Linked DNA regions of Drosophila melanogaster. The protein of the gene in region 1 interacts with the protein of each later gene in a pairwise test. Each region holds a gene or a part of one and is shown on either strand. Other genes may lie near its edges.

Region 1 (5,308 bases):
ATCCATTTTCATTTAACAGATATGCTTATCGTATTTGTTCGAACTAAAACCTGAGTTACACAAGAATTAAACAAATGTATCTCAAATATATAATTTTACATCTACCGAGAAAAAGGCCCTAGAACTTGCATCGCGTTTCGCGAACTGATAATGCAGGCATTTGCTGCATTTTATCTTTTTGTGGGCCCTCCTTCTGGTCATATATCAAGTGCGGTAAATGCCAAAAAATACGCCCACAAAATCATTGATTGCCGATCGATAACCTTTTGCGGTGATGGAGCATCCCATAAAGTTCTCGTCCCAGCTCATTGTCTGACTAATTAAATGATTTATCCCGAATCGTGAGGCAGAGGAGCTGGAAAGGAGATGGGAAAGAGTAAAAACCAATTACAATTACCGCACCCAGAGGTGCCACACTCACAGATATAGATATATGTATACGTGTATACATGAGTGCATCTGCGGCAGCAAAGCTGCTGCCCCACCGACAAGCAACGGCCTTATCTAGATGCATACAAATCCAGCCAAGCGCACGTCAATTTATTTGCCAACTCTCGCCTCCTTTCTGGCCAACATCCATATCCATTCATGGCCAAAAGGAGGAGAATCGCATGTATTTACCTATGAGAAGGCTGCGAAGTTGGCGCTGCATGTTTTATGCCTCCTCCTGCATCTTTAACGAGGTGTTTATTTTCACAACTCACAGCCAGCGGATGAGGATGCGGATAGGGATGGGGATGGGAATGGGGATGGGGATGGGTATACAGATACTCGGATGACCACGCACAGATACAGATGCAGATACGTTCCCTTCCCAGCACGCTGTATCTGTATCTGTGAGATTCGCGCAGTTGCAGCTCGCCGAAGGTGTAGAAACCAAGTTACCGCCCATTTTCGTGTCCAAATGCTTTTGGCCAACATGATGCAGATGCCAATTCAGAATGGTAGAATGGCCAAGCGGCGGGGGGAGGGAAAGTGGTTTATAGCCAGCACTGACGACGGGGCGTCTAAGCTATATAAGCGATGACGTTGATTCCACTGCACAGTGGTATCGGCTCGATATCCTTTGAAAAATGCGTATTTTCTACTTTTGAGTTATGTACAAATTTGAACACTTTTTAATATCGATTTTCCAGTAGATAGTAAATAATTTAATACATGAAAACAATTTAAAAACGGTTACTGATGAAAGATAAACGTTTAAGCCTTAAATATTTCAATGAATAAATACAATTCAATTAAATAAAGTTTCAATTTTTTTTTATTGTTAGTATTTGCATAATTAAAAGAGGGCACAGTTCGCTTTTCAATTTTAAATGTTATATTTATTATATTTATTTTTAATCATCGAAGACCTACTTCCTATCCACTGTTCGGGTGCACCACCCCCGTTCCCCCTCCTACGCTCCAACAAACTGGCCAACCCGCTTGGCACTAAAACCACAAACGCTTTAATGATGCTGTTTTGTTTAGCGCAAATTGTTTGTTTCGCTGTCATAAACTGGTGCGAAAAATGGCCAAGAGAGCGACAGAGAGAGAGAGAAAAAGAGAGAGATTGGGGCCCCTCACACACCCACACACCAACAAGCCCAGAGAGCGGGAGAGCGAGCGAGAGAGGAGGTGGCTCCACTTGGAGCCAAGCAGGTTTTCGGAATATCCACTGAACTATTGTTGCGCTGCTTTGGCGCACGCGCACCGAGCCACGTGTGCGAGCGAGACGCCAGCAGTATTGCTGCGCTGGAAGTACAAGCAAAGGAAGAAGAAGCACACTCGAACTGGCCCCACAAACTTTTTGCGGCTTTTTCCAACGCGACACTCGAGCTAAAACGCTCAGCGTGAGAGCCACGCAGCGATTCGCCGACGCCCCCGCCAAAAATCAGGACAGAAAGAGAGAAAGCGAGAGAGAGACAGAGGTTGCGAGCGGCGAAGTGGAGCCAACAATTAGACGCCTTTAGACGCTCCATAATGCTAATGGCGTTGACAGTGCTCATCATCATCGCAGCGCGGCCACCGCAATCGTTTCGTTACCGGGTAGCCGGCATAACCGTTAACCGTTAACTGATACCGCCACCGCCACCGTCAATCGCCAATAGTCAATCGCCAACCATCAATCGCCGCCGTCAATCGTCCAGCGAAGCGGTACGGTCACGCTCCAATCGCCGCGTTGCCGCCGCTCCAGTTACAGTTACAGTTTATCAATGTCACGCCGACGGATGCCAACCGCTGGAGCATCGCAGATACAACGCTACGTAGCTATATAGCTATAGCTATCTGATCGGAAAAACAGTGCGTGTGTGCTTATCTGATATCTAGTAACCATTAACCGATGTACGCGATCATGTTTCCATAGCACCAACCCATTTATTGGGAGCTTCGATCAGTACAACCCTTTTTCCGTTTCCGTTTCTATTCAGTTCAATTCCATTTCAATTTCCATTCCCTTTGATTTTAGTAGGATTTTTACCGTTTTATTTTATTCCTAAAACTTTTAGTTGAGCATTATTCTTTTATTTACTGATTTATCCCGTTCGAAAATACAAAATTTTTTTTTTCAAAAAAGTCAAATATGGAATGGAAAAAATGGAATTTAAGGCCTACAAGTGTTCTTATAATCTACTTCGACTTGCAGAGACTTCGAATCGGGAAGTTTAAGAGGAGGGAAAGTGATTCATTTGTTTTTCCAATCAACGAAACCCCTACCAAATGGTCACCTGCGGCCGGCAAACGTTCAACATGCTGCCCATGGCGCCGACGAGTCCTTTTGTGAGCAGCAGCTCCTCGGTGGCCGCATCCTCGACTTCCGTTTCCGCCAGCAGTACCGTTTCCGCCTCCGCGAGCAGCAAGCCCAAGCTGGCCTTCAGCATCGACTCGATTGTGGGCGAATCCTCGACGAGATCGGCTCCACTAAGGGTCAGTGTGATATCTTCGCCGCCGCCGCGCAGCGAAAGTCCCGCTTCGCCAACGAACACGAACAACAGTGGGCGCCGGACGCCCAGGGGCTATATCTACTGCCGCAGAAGGGATTCGCTGGATCGATCGCGCAGTCCTCAGAGATCACCGGTTAGCCGGTCGCCATCGCCCCCCAATGCAGGAGGCAATCCGGCAGCGGCCGGGAATACTGCAAAGTCCGGGGATCCATCGTCGGGAACGGGAAATCCTCCAACCCTCATCCGTCCGTTGCCTCTGCCGGCGCCAAATCTAGCTTTAATTGGGAACCGCACCTCACCGAACGCCATGGCGGTGCGCATGGCGGGTCCGCCCCACCCGCCGTCGCAGCCACCGCCGTTCCTTGCCGCCCAGTTCCAAATGGCTGCTGCACTGGCTCATCATCACCAGCAGCAACAGCAGCAGCAACAACAGCAACTTCCGCCCGTGCCAACTGGACCGCCACATGGTCCACATCCGCATCTGCCGCCCGGCCAAATTCCACTTGGAATCTTTCCCGGCGGACCGCATCCCGGGCATCCTCCGCCCCACGGACACCATCCGTTCGGGAGTGCGCCGCATCTGATCCGGGATAGCTATCCGTTGTATCCATGGTTGCTCAGCCGACACGGACGCATTTTTCCACGATTCCCAGGCAGTAAGTAATCACACTGTTTTAAATATATCTATTGTTTATTACAATATTTTCAATAAGTTCAGAGTTCAGAGAAGCTAACCGGTTTAGCAAGCGGTACTTTCATATGTATATAAAACCGCTAAAAATTATTTCTATAAATTGAAAAATATAATTTTTATGCATAATCATCTAAGCTAACAATTATTTGTAATAAATTTACTGCAAAATTAATAACAGTTTATATAACAATAATACATATCATTTAATTTAATATTTACCCTATTCTGATAATAAGAGTACATCTCTCTTTTACGGATTATTAGAAAGATAGTTGTTACATATATATTTTTCATATTTGAACATTAGAATATTATGATAGTTTACGGTCGGTTTCTTCTTCTGGAGATAGCAACCACCCCTTTTGTTGGTTATTTTTCGCTATAACGAGTTTTCCGCATTCATTATAGCCGTTTCAAATGGCCGCTGAGTGTTGCGAGCGACAGAGAAAAAGAAACCACACCTTAAGTCATATTCGAAGCCCAGCACCATTATAGTAGAGAGGACCCCAATCAAGCAATTATTCAGTTATCGCTGTTGTTGCCGCGCAGCTCCATATAATTAAAGTTAAATAAGCAAATGGCAAACATTTATTACAAGTTAATTAGACGTGTATCGGGCTCATCATCATCAGAGGGAGCGGGACGGAGAATGGGAGCGAACAGGAAGGGGGGAATGTGGAGGGAACCGAACCCATTTTGATAACTATTTCCAAACAAATTACATTTTAATTAAATTGTTTAAACAACATTACACACATCGTTAGGTCAAGCAGCGTACCTAAATGGCCAGCCAAGTGTGTGAGTGTGTGTTTAGCATTTATTTGCTCTATTTATACTTTTTCTCTTCACTCGAAATTACCATTAATGGCCAACAGACGGCGCCAGTTACTCATGCGGCGGGCCCATGCGGCGTATGTGTAACGTACGAAAAGTGCAACCATTGAAATGTTAATGCGTTTTTAATTGAGGTTTTGGGGCAACCAAGCAAAGAACCGAGAGGAATGGTAAAAAAAAAAAACTGGCAGATAGAAGCGAAGAGCCACCGCAAAGCGCATCTCAAAAACATTGTCATTTATTACGGTTTAACCACTTTTTTCTACCATTCCGCTGCTCTCATGATTACCATTTGAATTTCCAGGCCATGTTGGTATCCATGTTTTTTTTCGGCCGGTTAAATATAATAATAATTTTCGGCACACTCACACGCCTTTCACCTGCTTAAGTGTACATGTATCCCCGTTACGCCTTAATTATGTTGTACTCCGTTTCATTATTTTCTCCCTTTCTACTTGTTTTCCCATTTCCCGCCGCTCCTTCTCTTTTTTCTCACTTTTCTCCGCGCCGCCTGTAATTTTCGCTTGATTTATGAACGTGAAATGTCAATGTTTCGCATAACGATTTCATTAATTGTAAATGTTTTTCATCTCCGTTTGTTTTGTAACTCGTGTGAGTAATACCAGGTTACATGGGTTTGTTTTTCTTCCATTTTTTCCCGATCTGGAGTAAGATAATGGGGATCATCGCGATAGCGACGGTGATGATACGTCAGTAACTCAATTCAGCTTGCACGTGCTGCAATTTCTGGGTGTTGCCCTCTAATGCAGCCGTTGAAGTTCTGGGAAAACGGGTTAAATTAACAAGGCTGAGATCCTTATTATGGAGGGCTTAAATAGAGGGCACTGTAATT
Region 2 (8,211 bases), on another chromosome or scaffold:
CAGGCGAAGCACAGATACTTATTTGTGTATTCACTGCATATCTCAGCAAGTCCGCCCGATATAACCTTCACACGCCCTTGGGCTTACACAAGCAACGTTCTTCATTCGATGCACAAGTTTTATTTTTCAAATAGCTGGCATTTAAATACAGTAACAGGGCGATACTTTATTCAACAACAATAAATATGTAGCTTTGCGTAATTATGGCTATTTTGTGCATTTGAAAAAAAAGCATCCTCAATTGCGCCCCTTGCGGATTATGCAACAGTGATTCCCGACCAGCTGCTGGGCGCCGGGTTTGTACGATAGTTTTGGCTAGTTTAGTCCTTGCTCTGCATATACTTGATCAGGTCGATGACGCGGTTGGAGTAACCGAACTCGTTGTCGTACCACGAGATTAGCTTGACGAACTTATCGTTCAGCGAAATGCCAGCCTTGGCGTCGAACACAGACGAATGGGTGTCGCTGAAGAAGTCGGTGGAGACCACCTCCTCATCGGTGTAGCCCAGGATTCCCTTCAGGGGTCCCTTGGAGGCCTCCTCGACCTTAGCCTTGATTTCGTCATAGGTGGCTCCCTTGCCCAAGCGGACGGTAAGATCCACAACGGAGACATTGGGCGTGGGCACGCGGAAAGCCATGCCGGTCAGCTTGCCGTTCAGGGCGGGGATGACCTTGCCCACAGCCTTGGCGGCTCCGGTGGCGGCCGGGATGATGTTCTGGGCGGCGCCACGTCCATCGCGCCACAGTTTGCCAGAGGGACCGTCGACGGTCTTCTGGGTGGCAGTGGTGGCGTGCACGGTGGTCATCAGACCCTCGACGATCTCGAAGTTGTCATTGATGACCTTGGCCAGGGGAGCCAGGCAGTTGGTGGTGCACGAGGCGTTGGAGACCACCTTCATGTCGGGGCTGTAGGCGTCCAGGTTAACGCCGCACACGAACATGGGCGCATCGGCGGATGGGGCCGAGATGATGACCTTCTTGGCGCCGCCCTTCAAGTGGGTGGACGCCTTGTCAATGGTGGTGAACACTCCGGTGGACTCCACCACATACTCGGCTCCAGCACTGGCCCAGTTGATGTTGGCCGGGTCGCGCTCGCTGAACACGGTGATCTTCTGGCCGTTCACCACCAGGAATCCGCCCTCAGCCGCAACGGTGCCCTTGAAACGACCGTGAGTCGAGTCGAATTTAAACAGGTAAACCATGTAGTTGACATCGATGAAGGGATCGTTGACGGCCACCACGGAGGCGCCCTTATCGATGGCGGCGCGGAGCACCAAGCGGCCGATGCGGCCAAATCCGTTAATTCCGATCTTCGACATGGCTGAGTTCCTGCTGTCTTTTCACTTTTACTCTCGTTCAGTTTCAGTTCGCTATTACGACTGCCGCTTTTTCCTTTTCCCGGAGCTTTTTTCGCAAATTAGGAGAATGGCGCTGCGATGGCGGGGGAGGGTTGATGAGTATTTCGCTAGCTTTCTGCGTAGGTCACACTTAAATAAAGCTAATGTGAAATAAATCGATTAGAATTCCATTTAAAACTTTAATTTTTACAAAGGGTTTGATTATATAAGCGCCTTAAAAAGAGCCTCTAACAACTAATGATATATATGGGTTGTAGGACCCTTTACGTAATTAAGTTTATACAAAAATTAGCATTGTCAAGTATAAAATTCCTTCATCTTGCACTAAAGTTTTTCTTAACATTGTTGCCAAGTTAGTTCTTTAAGTTCTAGAGCTCTTCTTTCAATTTAAAAATATTTATTTTACGTTTTTGCCCTTAGTTTGAATTCAAAAAGCAACAATCGATAGATCGATACTTTTCGATACATGGTCACTCTAGTTTGAATTGAATTGACAACAAATAGCTCTGCGAAAACGAATCTGAGTTTTGGCGAAAATGGCAGCCGCAGGAGAGGCAATCGATGGAGTCTACTCCGTCCGGCTGGTCATCGCGGATTTCTATATGGAGAAGCCGCAGTTCGGAATGGATCCGTGCTATTCGGAGCTGCGCGGCAAAGAAATCAAGCGGGTGAGCCGGTCTATTTCACCACAGTAAAAACTGGTATAACGATCCATTCCACTTCCAGGTGCCAGTGATTCGAGTGTTTGGCGGCAACTCCAGAGGCCAGAAGACCTGCATGCATGTACACGGAGTTTTCCCCTATCTATACATTCCGTATGACAAGAAGGATTTTGAGTCCCTGGAGCGGGGCATCCTGCAGATGGCCATGCACCTGGACAAGGCCATCAACATATCCTTGGGTCAAGGCAGCTCCAACGCCCAGCATGTGTTCAAAATTCAGCTGGTCAAGGGCATGTGAGTTCTTTCTGGACGACTTCTTGGCGTAAATCTCTAACCGACCTCTCTTTACAGACCCTTCTATGGCTACCATCGAGTGGAACACCAGTTCCTCAAGATCTACATGTTCAATCCCCGGTTCGTACGCCGCGCCGCCAACCTTCTCCAAAGCGGCGCCATTCTGAGCAAGAACTTCAGTCCGCACGAGTCGCATGTGCCCTACATTCTGCAGTTTATGATCGACTACAATCTGTACGGTATGAGCTATGTGCATGTCCCGCTGGAGGTTCTCAAGTTCCGGCGCAACCATGACGATGACGGCAAGCTGGATACATCATCTATTTAAGTTCCTAACTAACCCGTAACTAACCCTTTAGTAATCCCCTATGCAAATGTCAAGCAAGCGCAGCTTCTGGACATCACAACCGCTAAGAAAGTGGCCTGCAGTGCTTTAGAGGTGGATGTCAGCTCGAACTTCATACTGAATCGGTTCCAGCTGGTGGCGAAGAGTAAGAGCAACCACACTAACCCCGGCATCGAGGCCATCTGGAATGATGAGAAATTGCGCCGACAGAAACTTGTCGAGAAGCACACCGATGCTGGCGATGAGGAGAAGGCTGAAGCGGTAATCCGGGAATACATCTTGTATTGATAAATCCTACAGCCTTGTCCATCCATCGTAGGTGCCAGTATTGGAGTTACCGCCAACACAGGAGCGGCATCAAATTGAAATCGCCGAAAGCGATATCTTCTACCGCACCGCTCTGGAGAGCAAGCTGATGACACTGGAGCAGTCCACACTGTCCGAGCAAACGTTGTCGGATCAGACAATCCTTCCCCAAGCAACCATGCAGACCACCATGCCCGGCACAAAGGCACAGAAACGCAGGTTTAACTTGCAAAAACTTCTAGCCAACGCCGTTTATCCGGAGGAATGCTCACAGGATCAGCAGCAACTGCTGGTTAATGCTTCCTTCATACAAAACCATGTTACCTGCGGCTACAGCAGCAGTGTCAGTTTGTCAACCTCCAAGGATGAGTCCGATGACTTGGACGAAACTGTAGTGGATGAGGAACTAATACTGAGCCTCACACAGCCTCATGGAGCGATACCCCATGATGCCACCTGTGAGTACACGGTTGCCAAAATTACAACTCGCACTTTGGTATAAACCAGTTGTTTTCTCCTTGCTTCAGTGAGGGAGGAGGATTTGGAACTTTTGGACGCGTTGCAGCTGTTGGAGGAGCAGAATGAAAGTGAATCGCATGTGGACTTAGACAGTTCGTTGGCTCCATTGTCGCAACATAAAAAGTGTGAGTTGTTGTGAAATGGAGTTGTTTTTTAATAAATGTTTTACACTGATCTCTTTTTGTAGTCGAACTTACACCCGAATTGTTGGACAAGGAGACCGCAGCTACTGCTGCTCTTTTCGACGAAGATGTTGACTCCGACGAGGATGCCGACCAAGAAACCCGACATGACTTCTCTACCGTCCTAGACGATGTCGATGAGTTGTTGCTTAAGTTAACACAAAGTCAGCCTGCGGAATCGAAGGAACTGAAAGCATCTAGTAAACTGCCCCAAATTGATGGTGCTGATGATCGCCTACAAAGGACCCCCATTAAATCGATCAGCTCTAAGTCAAAGTCAAGTCCTTCAAAGACTCCAACAACGCCAATAGGTCAGAAAAGTCTTCCCAAATCGCCACGTACTCCGAAAACCAGTGCAGCCAAGAAATATGCGCCGCTGGCTTTGACAATTGGAAGCAGTTCATCAAAGAGTGGGTAGAATTGATAACGATCACACGAATTTTTTTTGCAATCATAACCAATTGCAGAAAGCAACGATGAATTCGCAGGGAGACCATCTAATCCACGCCTCAGTTTGCAGCTAGACCAAGGAACCGGAACGGGAACACTTCGGTAATCAAATTCTTTGTTTTCATCATATGTACCAACATTTCTATGACCAACATTTTTGTTCGTAGGCCAGAAATCTCATTGCGCAAAAAACTAGCCATGTCGGAGATGCGACGGAAAAGTTTCGAGGACAGTTTTGTGCTCTTAAAGAACGAGTATGGTTAACTGATATCCTTTATGGCAAGGCGATTTATATTATTGTTTTCCCGATAGTTGTACTCCAGTTAGGAGTACCAGACGATCAACTAGCAATCTGGACAAAACACACATTATTTGTTCCCTTACGCCGAGGGACAGAAATCCTGGCTTGAGCGACATGTTCGAAACAGAGGACGGCAAGCAATTACCACCAAAGAAAGTAGTAAGAAAGACGCGATGGAGCACTCGGAATCAAGATATAGAAAGTCTACCCAAGGCCGGTTGTGAGATAGAGAGACCCCACAGGTCAGAAGGAAGTGCCTTGGATGAGCTGAAGCCGCGTCGCAGTGCTCGCCATAAGGTTAATTCGGCAAATCCAGATGAGTGTTCCAGCGAAATACAAACAACTGGGCCACGAGTGACGACTACAAGTTTGGATAGACCTCAAAAGAAAGCCAGACTATCCCAAAGTCCCAAAGAAAATACTAAAACAAGCATGAATGGAACTGTTGCATTGGAAAAAGCAACAAAAGATAGTTCATCTAACTCAGAGAGTCCGCATCAGCAGGAAAACTCTGTTTCTGAACAAATCGAATATCTCGAAAGTAAACCAAAAAAGTCTGATGAAACTGCACGAAGCTGTGACGAAAAGTTACAACGTGAGCTAATTCCACAGGAACCAGCTGGTATTTCGCCTGGAGATTCAGCAAACTCCACGGAGGAGATCACATTTAGTCCATGCCATGATGAGGCTATCGAATCCGACACGGAAAGCGATTATATAGTCACCAAACTTCGTAAAACACCCAACTTGAAACGCCTTCGATGGAGCATTCGGTCGGAGTTGCTGAACAAACAATTTACTCCCAGTTCAGGCATAAGACCCCCTGAGACTGAGACCACTCCTCAGCTAAGTCCCAAAAGCAATGAGAGCAACACACCGGAGCTGATGCGAAGTTTCTATGAGCATTCGCTGATTGTGAACAGTCCGTCGGTCTTCAGTGACTTCTTGGATAGCCCCGAGATACATATGGATTCTCCTAGGTCTGCTCCTCCATCTCCCGATAGCAACTCGTTCGTGATTGCCCCCTTGGAGCTGCCTCCATCCTACGATGAAGTGGTTAGCGGTAGCCGTAAAATGGACATACCCGAGTACGAGTTCCAAAAGCCATACTACAGCAATCCCTCCGATGTGAGCAAGGTGACGGAGGTGGGCTTCCTGGTGCTCCACATTCCGGGGAACAAGCTAAATGACTGTGATCCCTTCCAGAGCATACTGGGCAATGATCGTGGCCTGGCCTCCTGGCGTCGTCGGCAACTGATAGCCATTGGTGGCCTGGCAATGTTGCAGCGACATCGGGGAGAACAAAAAGTACGGGAGTATTTCAGCACGCAACAAAGAATAGCAATCGAGCCAGCACAACTAGCACCCACCTGGCAGGAAGCCAAGATCTGGTTGAAAGCCAAGGAACTCCTTCGTCAACGAGAGGAACCAAAAAAGTCCTCTGATGACATAGACAGCCCCATCAAGATCAAGCGGCAGAAGATCACTATGATGCTGCAGGCTGAGGAAGGCGATGGCGGAAGTGGCGATGAAGATGCTGGTGAGGAACTCGATTGCAGTCTAAGTCTAACGCCCTTGTCCCAAGCTAAGGATAAATGCAAGGCAACCCCTACCAGTAGCAAAGCCAGAGAAACAGGAAAGAGTCGCCTTAAGCGCGGAACTAGGCTCAGCTTCATAGGAAGCCAGGACGAGGAACCACCAAGCTCGCAGTCCAGCGAACAGAGCGTCTCCAGTAGTGCGGCCCAGGCGGAGCTAGATCGTAGTTCCTTTCTGCGCCAGTTAGAGGGCAGTAGCCAGGATAGGCAGCACGACCTCAGCTTTGGACTTAGCCACGCTACCTTGGACAACACGTTCGGGTTCAAGGTTAATTTGGAGAATCTGCAGCAGGCCAAAGCCGACATTGATTGCAACCACCTGACAATCATAACGTTAGAGGTGTTTGTGTCCACGCGAGGTGATCTCCAACCAGATCCGATGCACGACGAGATTCGGTGTTTGTTTTATGCTATCGAACACAGTTTGCCGGATGAAAAGCTGCCTAGCAAAGCCTGCGGCTATATAATGGTGAACACTGTCCAGGATTTGCTAAGTGAAGGACCTTTTCATGGTATAGATCGCGATATTGAGGTGCAAGTAGTGACCAGTGAAGCGGAGGCATTTGAGGCGTTGCTGGCTTTGTGTGAACGGTGGGATGCGGACATATACGCAGGGTACGAAATCGAGATGTCCTCTTGGGGCTATGTGATTGATCGGGCCAAGCATCTGTGCTTCAACATCGCTCCTCTGCTGTCCCGAGTGCCCACACAGAAGGTCCGGGACTTTGTGGACGAGGATCGGGAGCAGTTCACCGATTTGGATGTGGAAATGAAGCTCTGCGGCCGCATTCTGCTGGACGTATGGCGCCTGATGCGCTCCGAGATTGCACTGACGTCGTACACCTTCGAAAACGTAATGTACCACATTTTGCATAAGAGATGTCCCTGGCACACTGCCAAATCCCTCACCGAATGGTTCGGCTCACCCTGCACCCGCTGGATAGTAATGGAATATTACTTGGAGCGTGTGCGTGGCACCTTAACTCTCCTGGATCAGCTGGACTTACTGGGACGGACTAGCGAAATGGCCAAGCTCATTGGCATTCAGTTCTACGAGGTGCTGTCGCGCGGCTCACAGTTTCGCGTGGAAAGCATGATGCTGAGGTGAGTGTAACCCTTGAGCGCAGGCAAAATATGTTGCATCCTCCCTGAACTCTCTGTCTTCATAGAATCGCCAAGCCAAAGAACCTGGTGCCACTTTCACCCAGCGTCCAGGCTCGCGCTCATATGAGAGCTCCCGAGTACTTGGCGCTAATAATGGAACCGCAGTCACGATTCTATGCCGATCCCCTAATCGTGCTTGATTTTCAGAGCTTGTACCCCAGCATGATCATCGCCTACAACTACTGCTTCTCCACGTGCTTGGGTAGAGTAGAGCACCTGGGTGGAAGTTCGCCCTTTGAATTTGGCGCGTCGCAGCTCCGAGTTTCGCGGCAGATGCTGCAGAAGTTGCTGGAGCACGATCTGGTTACTGTTTCGCCATGCGGCGTTGTGTTCGTGAAGCGTGAAGTGCGCGAGGGCATCCTGCCGCGCATGCTCACCGAGATCTTGGACACGCGCCAAATGGTCAAACAGTCGATGAAGCTCCATAAGGACAGCTCTGCACTTCAGCGGATCCTTCACTCACGGCAGCTGGGCCTTAAGCTGATGGCCAATGTTACCTATGGCTACACCGCCGCTAACTTCAGTGGCCGAATGCCTTCAGTGGAAGTGGGCGATTCTGTAGTTTCCAAAGGACGGGAGACCCTGGAGCGTGCTATCAAACTAGTGGAGAACAACGAGGAGTGGAAGGTGCGTGTCGTCTATGGCGACACGGACTCCATGTTCGTTCTTGTGCCGGGTCGAAATCGAGCTGAAGCTTTTCGAATCGGCGAGGAGATCGCCAAGGCGGTCACCGAAATGAATCCACAGCCAGTGAAGCTAAAACTGGAGAAGGTCTACCAACCTTGCATGCTGCAGACCAAGAAGCGCTACGTGGGTTACATGTATGAGACAGCCGATCAGGAGCAGCCCGTTTACGAGGCGAAGGGAATAGAAACTGTGCGGCGAGATGGTTGTCCGGCGGTGGCCAAGATGCTGGAAAAGGTGCTGCGCATATTGTTCGAGACGCAAGACGTCAGCAAGATCAAGGCGTACGTGTGCCGGCAGTTCACCAAGCTGCTGTCGGGCAGGGCCAATCTGCAGGACCTGATTTTCGC
Region 3 (4,137 bases), on another chromosome or scaffold:
TCGATTTTGTTCTTCATCCGCAACGATTTTCCAAGGAAGTACCCTAAATATTGCAACTCAAGCACATCCAGAACAAAAAACAAAAAACAAAGAAAAACCTAATAAAACACAAGATCACGCAATCTTTATAAACTGCAAAATTATTGAAATAATAAAAATCGTTAAATCACCTTTCAGCGTGAATCATATCATTGAGCTTTGCTTCACAAGAAGACGGGAAGACATTCTAAACCAAAAATAAAAACTAAAAACTAAAAACCTAAACTAAAACAAAACAAAATGCAAACACAACGTACATACATATATTTCAAATTATTTAACGCAATTGAAATATAATAACGAGAAGTATTTATAATAACAACGTTTCCAAACAAGTTACTGAAACTTAAAAAATTTACGAGAACTAAGATTAAGAAATCTACAGAAAGAACACACACCAAAAAAAAGAAGCTTTTGTCTGCGCTGGCTGAGTCGAATATTCTATAACCATAAATATAATACCTAAATATTATATATATCTATATAATTTCCTTTCGTTTTTATATCACAGCAACACGGATAGCAACAAAATGGGAAACTTATTTATTATGCAAGAGAAACATAACAGAAAAAGAAAACACTGCAAAGATAATAGTATAAAATCCATAAGCAGATCAAAGATGCGAAAAACAAGAAAAGAAAAGAAAATAAAGTGAACTTGTTAATTTTTAGCATTTAAGTCTGTAAAGCTCCGCTTGTAGATGAAAAATCAATAAATAAACTAAATAAAATGGTAAATTCAATAAATGGAGACAAAAAAGCTGTAAGCTTTCACAACAAAAAACCAAACGATACTTTTTGGTAGAAGACGGGGGATTTTTTTTCAAGATTACTCTTTATGTAATATTCAAGATCTCGATGAATTATCTTAGCTTTATTTGAGATATTCCCAAATCTATTTCTTGGATGGTTCTATTACTATTCTTCTATTCTATGAACTATCATAGATATAGATAGGCACACTCTTAAGGTATCATCATAGTGTTATTATAGATATTCCCGAATCTGTTACTCGAATTCTAGTTGATTTAAAGATAATGCGTCTATAATAATAATAATAGTATTGCTTACTAGCATTAAGTTTTTTTAAAGAACTTACAGCATCTACTGAATCCGAAACAAAATCATCATATAAAAATTTACACATAAAACTTAAGTTTATTAACTTGAAATAAGGTCAAATCGGAATCCTTCTTAGGCAAGCGCACTGGGAAAGACGGCATTCTTGGCAATGGGCTGATTGGACCTGCGCACGATCCTGATGTAACCCTCCTCGCCCCACGTGTCGCCGAAGGAGTTCAGGCAGCGCCAGTAGTCCAGATTGGAGTCCACGTCGTGATCGTAGCCCACGACCACCAGGAACTGTGAGCTCTTTGGATTGGTCAGGGCACGCGTCTCCTGGACATAGACGCCACTGGAGTACTGCATGAATCCAAAGGTAGCCGGATTGTACTCGACTATGACGGGGAATCCATTCGATACGTAACGCATTACGGCGGCATCATCGTTGTCGGCCACCGTGGAATAGCCGGCCAACTTCACGCCCACTGACACAGAGGATGGGGGCTGGCACATACCCGGCGTTTTCAGGCTATTGTTATTCGGATAGTCCACCTCCGGATAGAGATACGCATCTGTCAGCTGGGTGAGATAGTTGAGGGCAGCCAGGGGCGTCTGGGTGCTGCATCCGGTGCCCATGCCCGCACAGTCCAGCAGCTGCTGGGCGGACAAGGACGAGGGCAGAGGATTGGCTGTCTGCACGGCATTCATGATCTCCACGGCCTTGGCGGTGGCATAGGCCCAACTACTGCTGCAGTTCACGCCCTGATCCTCCACCGCCACGGTGAGTCCGAAATCCGTGATAATGTCAAAGCTGGCAGATGCCGCTTGACTGGCCGGTGGATCACTGGCCGCCGAGGTCACCGTATTCACGGCTTTGGGCAGCAGGGCTGCGAACTGGATGAGCCGGATGTCCGAGAACTGATTCACTGCCTCGCGGTAGGTGGTGCGATTCCTATCGGCCTGGGCATTGTGCTGCGCCACCTGGTTGCGGTTGTAGATGAAGTAGTAGTTGGCGAAGTTGCGAGCCGAAGTTGAGGCATAGGTCTTGTTGAAATTGTCCTGTAAATGGAAAGATTTGAATTCCATTACTCAATACAATCCTTTTCAATGCCATAAGATACAAGATATAATTTCTAATTAAATCCCATCCAGACTTTGTTTTCTTGATGACTCACATACCTCGTAAGTTTGAAAGTCCACTAGATCCTGGCCATGATTAAAGGCCCATCCACTGTCGATGGTTAGTAGAAGGCAGCAAAGTAGCAACTTGAACATGACGAAAACCCAAATCCGCACCAACTAATGCCGCCAGAACCATGGAACGATCTTTTATAGGCACCGGCAAACTCTCCTTCTGATTGCAAACGCAAATAGAAGTTTACCAAAGCGACTTACTTTCGCAAGAAAAGTGCAAATACTCGTAGATTTCTACGAGGCCTTGAATTCGCACTTGGCCAGCAGCACTCAAACGTACTATCCGTAGTATTCATATTCCGGGTTGGGTCTCCTCGATAAGCCGACGTTGGTAGGAAAAGTCGGGGTGCGCTTTGTTTGCCCAATAAACTTGTCAAATGCCCCGTTTCGTATCGTTGCGATTCGGCGGTGGGTTCTCGTATCTCTGTTAATTCGAAATCCCCACTGGCCCAGTTCAGAAAAAAACACCCAAGCCCATATGCCCATGGAGCATCGTAAACGCCCCTCTAATGCCAACTTATCGTTTAGTCTTCAGGTTTTGTCTTCAGCGCAGGCATGATTAATCACAGTCATACTTTGTGGCGCCCATAAAAGTTGCAACAGCGTTGATAGATAGATACGTAGATGGAAAGATACATAGACAGATAGATAGATAGGCCCGTTGGAAGACTTGGCCAAATTGCTGTAAACCAAGTGCTAAGTGAGTTGTTTGGTAATTTCCATTGCGGTAGTCTAGCATATACTACAGGTAGTATATATTCGAAGTAGTAATGAGGGATCATCTTGAAATTTTGCAAATATGTAGGTAAGTCCATAAGGGATTTCAGCAGTCAATGAACTTTTTAGTAGACGCAACAACAAATTCAGATTCCACGAATCTGTTAATTGAAATGCAAATAAATTGGCCACTAATCAATCTCTTCATGGTTCAATTTCAATTTATAGTTATTGAAAGTCGAGACCATTATTCATCCGTCTGCATCTTTATCATTCTGTAATTGTATTATTTACATAAAAATCAAAGTGTTATTTATTTACAAGGGATATAATAGTACAAACTACTTAGAGACGCTTTAAAAACTTTCCTAAAACTTTGCTTGCTGCATTGAAATTTGTAATCCTATAGGCGCTACAACTGTGACTTCGATCTCATCAATTATTAACTATTTAAAAACATGTTTGACTATTTTCTCTTTTGTTTCAAATGAGTTAATATGCGTTGTTATAGCCACCAACACATTAGGCAATCGACAATTACTAAGCATGCATATAATGGAGACAGCTATAGACCCATAAACCAGATAGCCCGTCGAAATGAAGATGAATATGCTCTTGTCGGTATTCCAAAAGTTTCAAATTGGTGGCCCATCCAGTTTTGGCCATATGTCCCACGGTCCAGCTCCAGACTCTATAAAACCAAGGTGTGCGGGTCGAGCGCCGCTTATAATCTCGCCGGTCTTCGAGTCTTCAGCATCTTCGAATAGTTTTGTGATTTGTGAACGCGGAAGGTGTTTTGAACATATCATTCCCAGATATCCATAAAAGGTGATTAAGTCGATCTTTTCAACATATTGTGTCGTGTGTGTTGTTATTTTTCGATTCATAATGGTCCGTCGAAGACAAGAGAACTGCAATTGCTTACATTCGACTCGAAATTTGATTTTAAACAGGGGAATCCATCGCCTTTCACCGGGCACAGCATGTGATCAGTATTTTATGGCAACGAAAGTGAAATCTTAGCCTGCGGTTGCCTAATCTAGATTTGATTTTGATTTATTTGGGCCCTCGATGGAGCCAATTTGGGAGCTGAGGAAATAAAAGGAGAGACGAAGCCGCGAAATC

The links.
Region 2: the proteins of E5 (region 1) and PolZ1 interact in a two-hybrid assay, tested with the Drosophila melanogaster proteins (one large-scale study listed by BioGRID).
Region 3: the proteins of E5 (region 1) and CG6337 interact in a two-hybrid assay, tested with the Drosophila melanogaster proteins (one large-scale study listed by BioGRID).

The regions. Positions count from the first base shown.
Region 1 is NT_033777.3:13,871,575-13,876,882, reverse strand, and holds the start of E5 (E5), read left to right. Parts: upstream 1-1,966; 5' UTR 1,967-2,286; intron 2,287-2,629; 5' UTR 2,630-2,703; coding exon 2,704-3,583; intron 3,584-5,308.
Region 2 is NT_033778.4:7,791,802-7,800,012, forward strand, and holds the start of PolZ1 (DNA polymerase zeta subunit 1), read left to right. Parts: upstream 1-1,823; 5' UTR 1,824-1,894; coding exon 1,895-2,026; intron 2,027-2,084; coding exon 2,085-2,314; intron 2,315-2,371; coding exon 2,372-2,616; intron 2,617-2,673; coding exon 2,674-2,921; intron 2,922-2,979; coding exon 2,980-3,424; intron 3,425-3,493; coding exon 3,494-3,610; intron 3,611-3,672; coding exon 3,673-4,077; intron 4,078-4,134; coding exon 4,135-4,219; intron 4,220-4,284; coding exon 4,285-4,371; intron 4,372-4,429; coding exon 4,430-7,117; intron 7,118-7,182; coding exon 7,183-8,211. Other genes in the region: Gapdh1 (glyceraldehyde 3 phosphate dehydrogenase 1), read right to left, coding at 321-1,319. UniProt on the Drosophila melanogaster protein: As the catalytic subunit of the DNA polymerase zeta complex, plays a crucial role in translesion DNA synthesis (TLS) and various DNA repair mechanisms. Lacks an intrinsic 3'-5' exonuclease activity and thus has no proofreading function.
Region 3 is NT_033778.4:13,832,687-13,836,823, forward strand, and holds CG6337 (uncharacterized protein), read right to left. Parts: upstream 2,411-4,137; 5' UTR 2,377-2,410; coding exon 2,281-2,376; intron 2,161-2,280; coding exon 1,234-2,160; 3' UTR 889-1,233; downstream 1-888.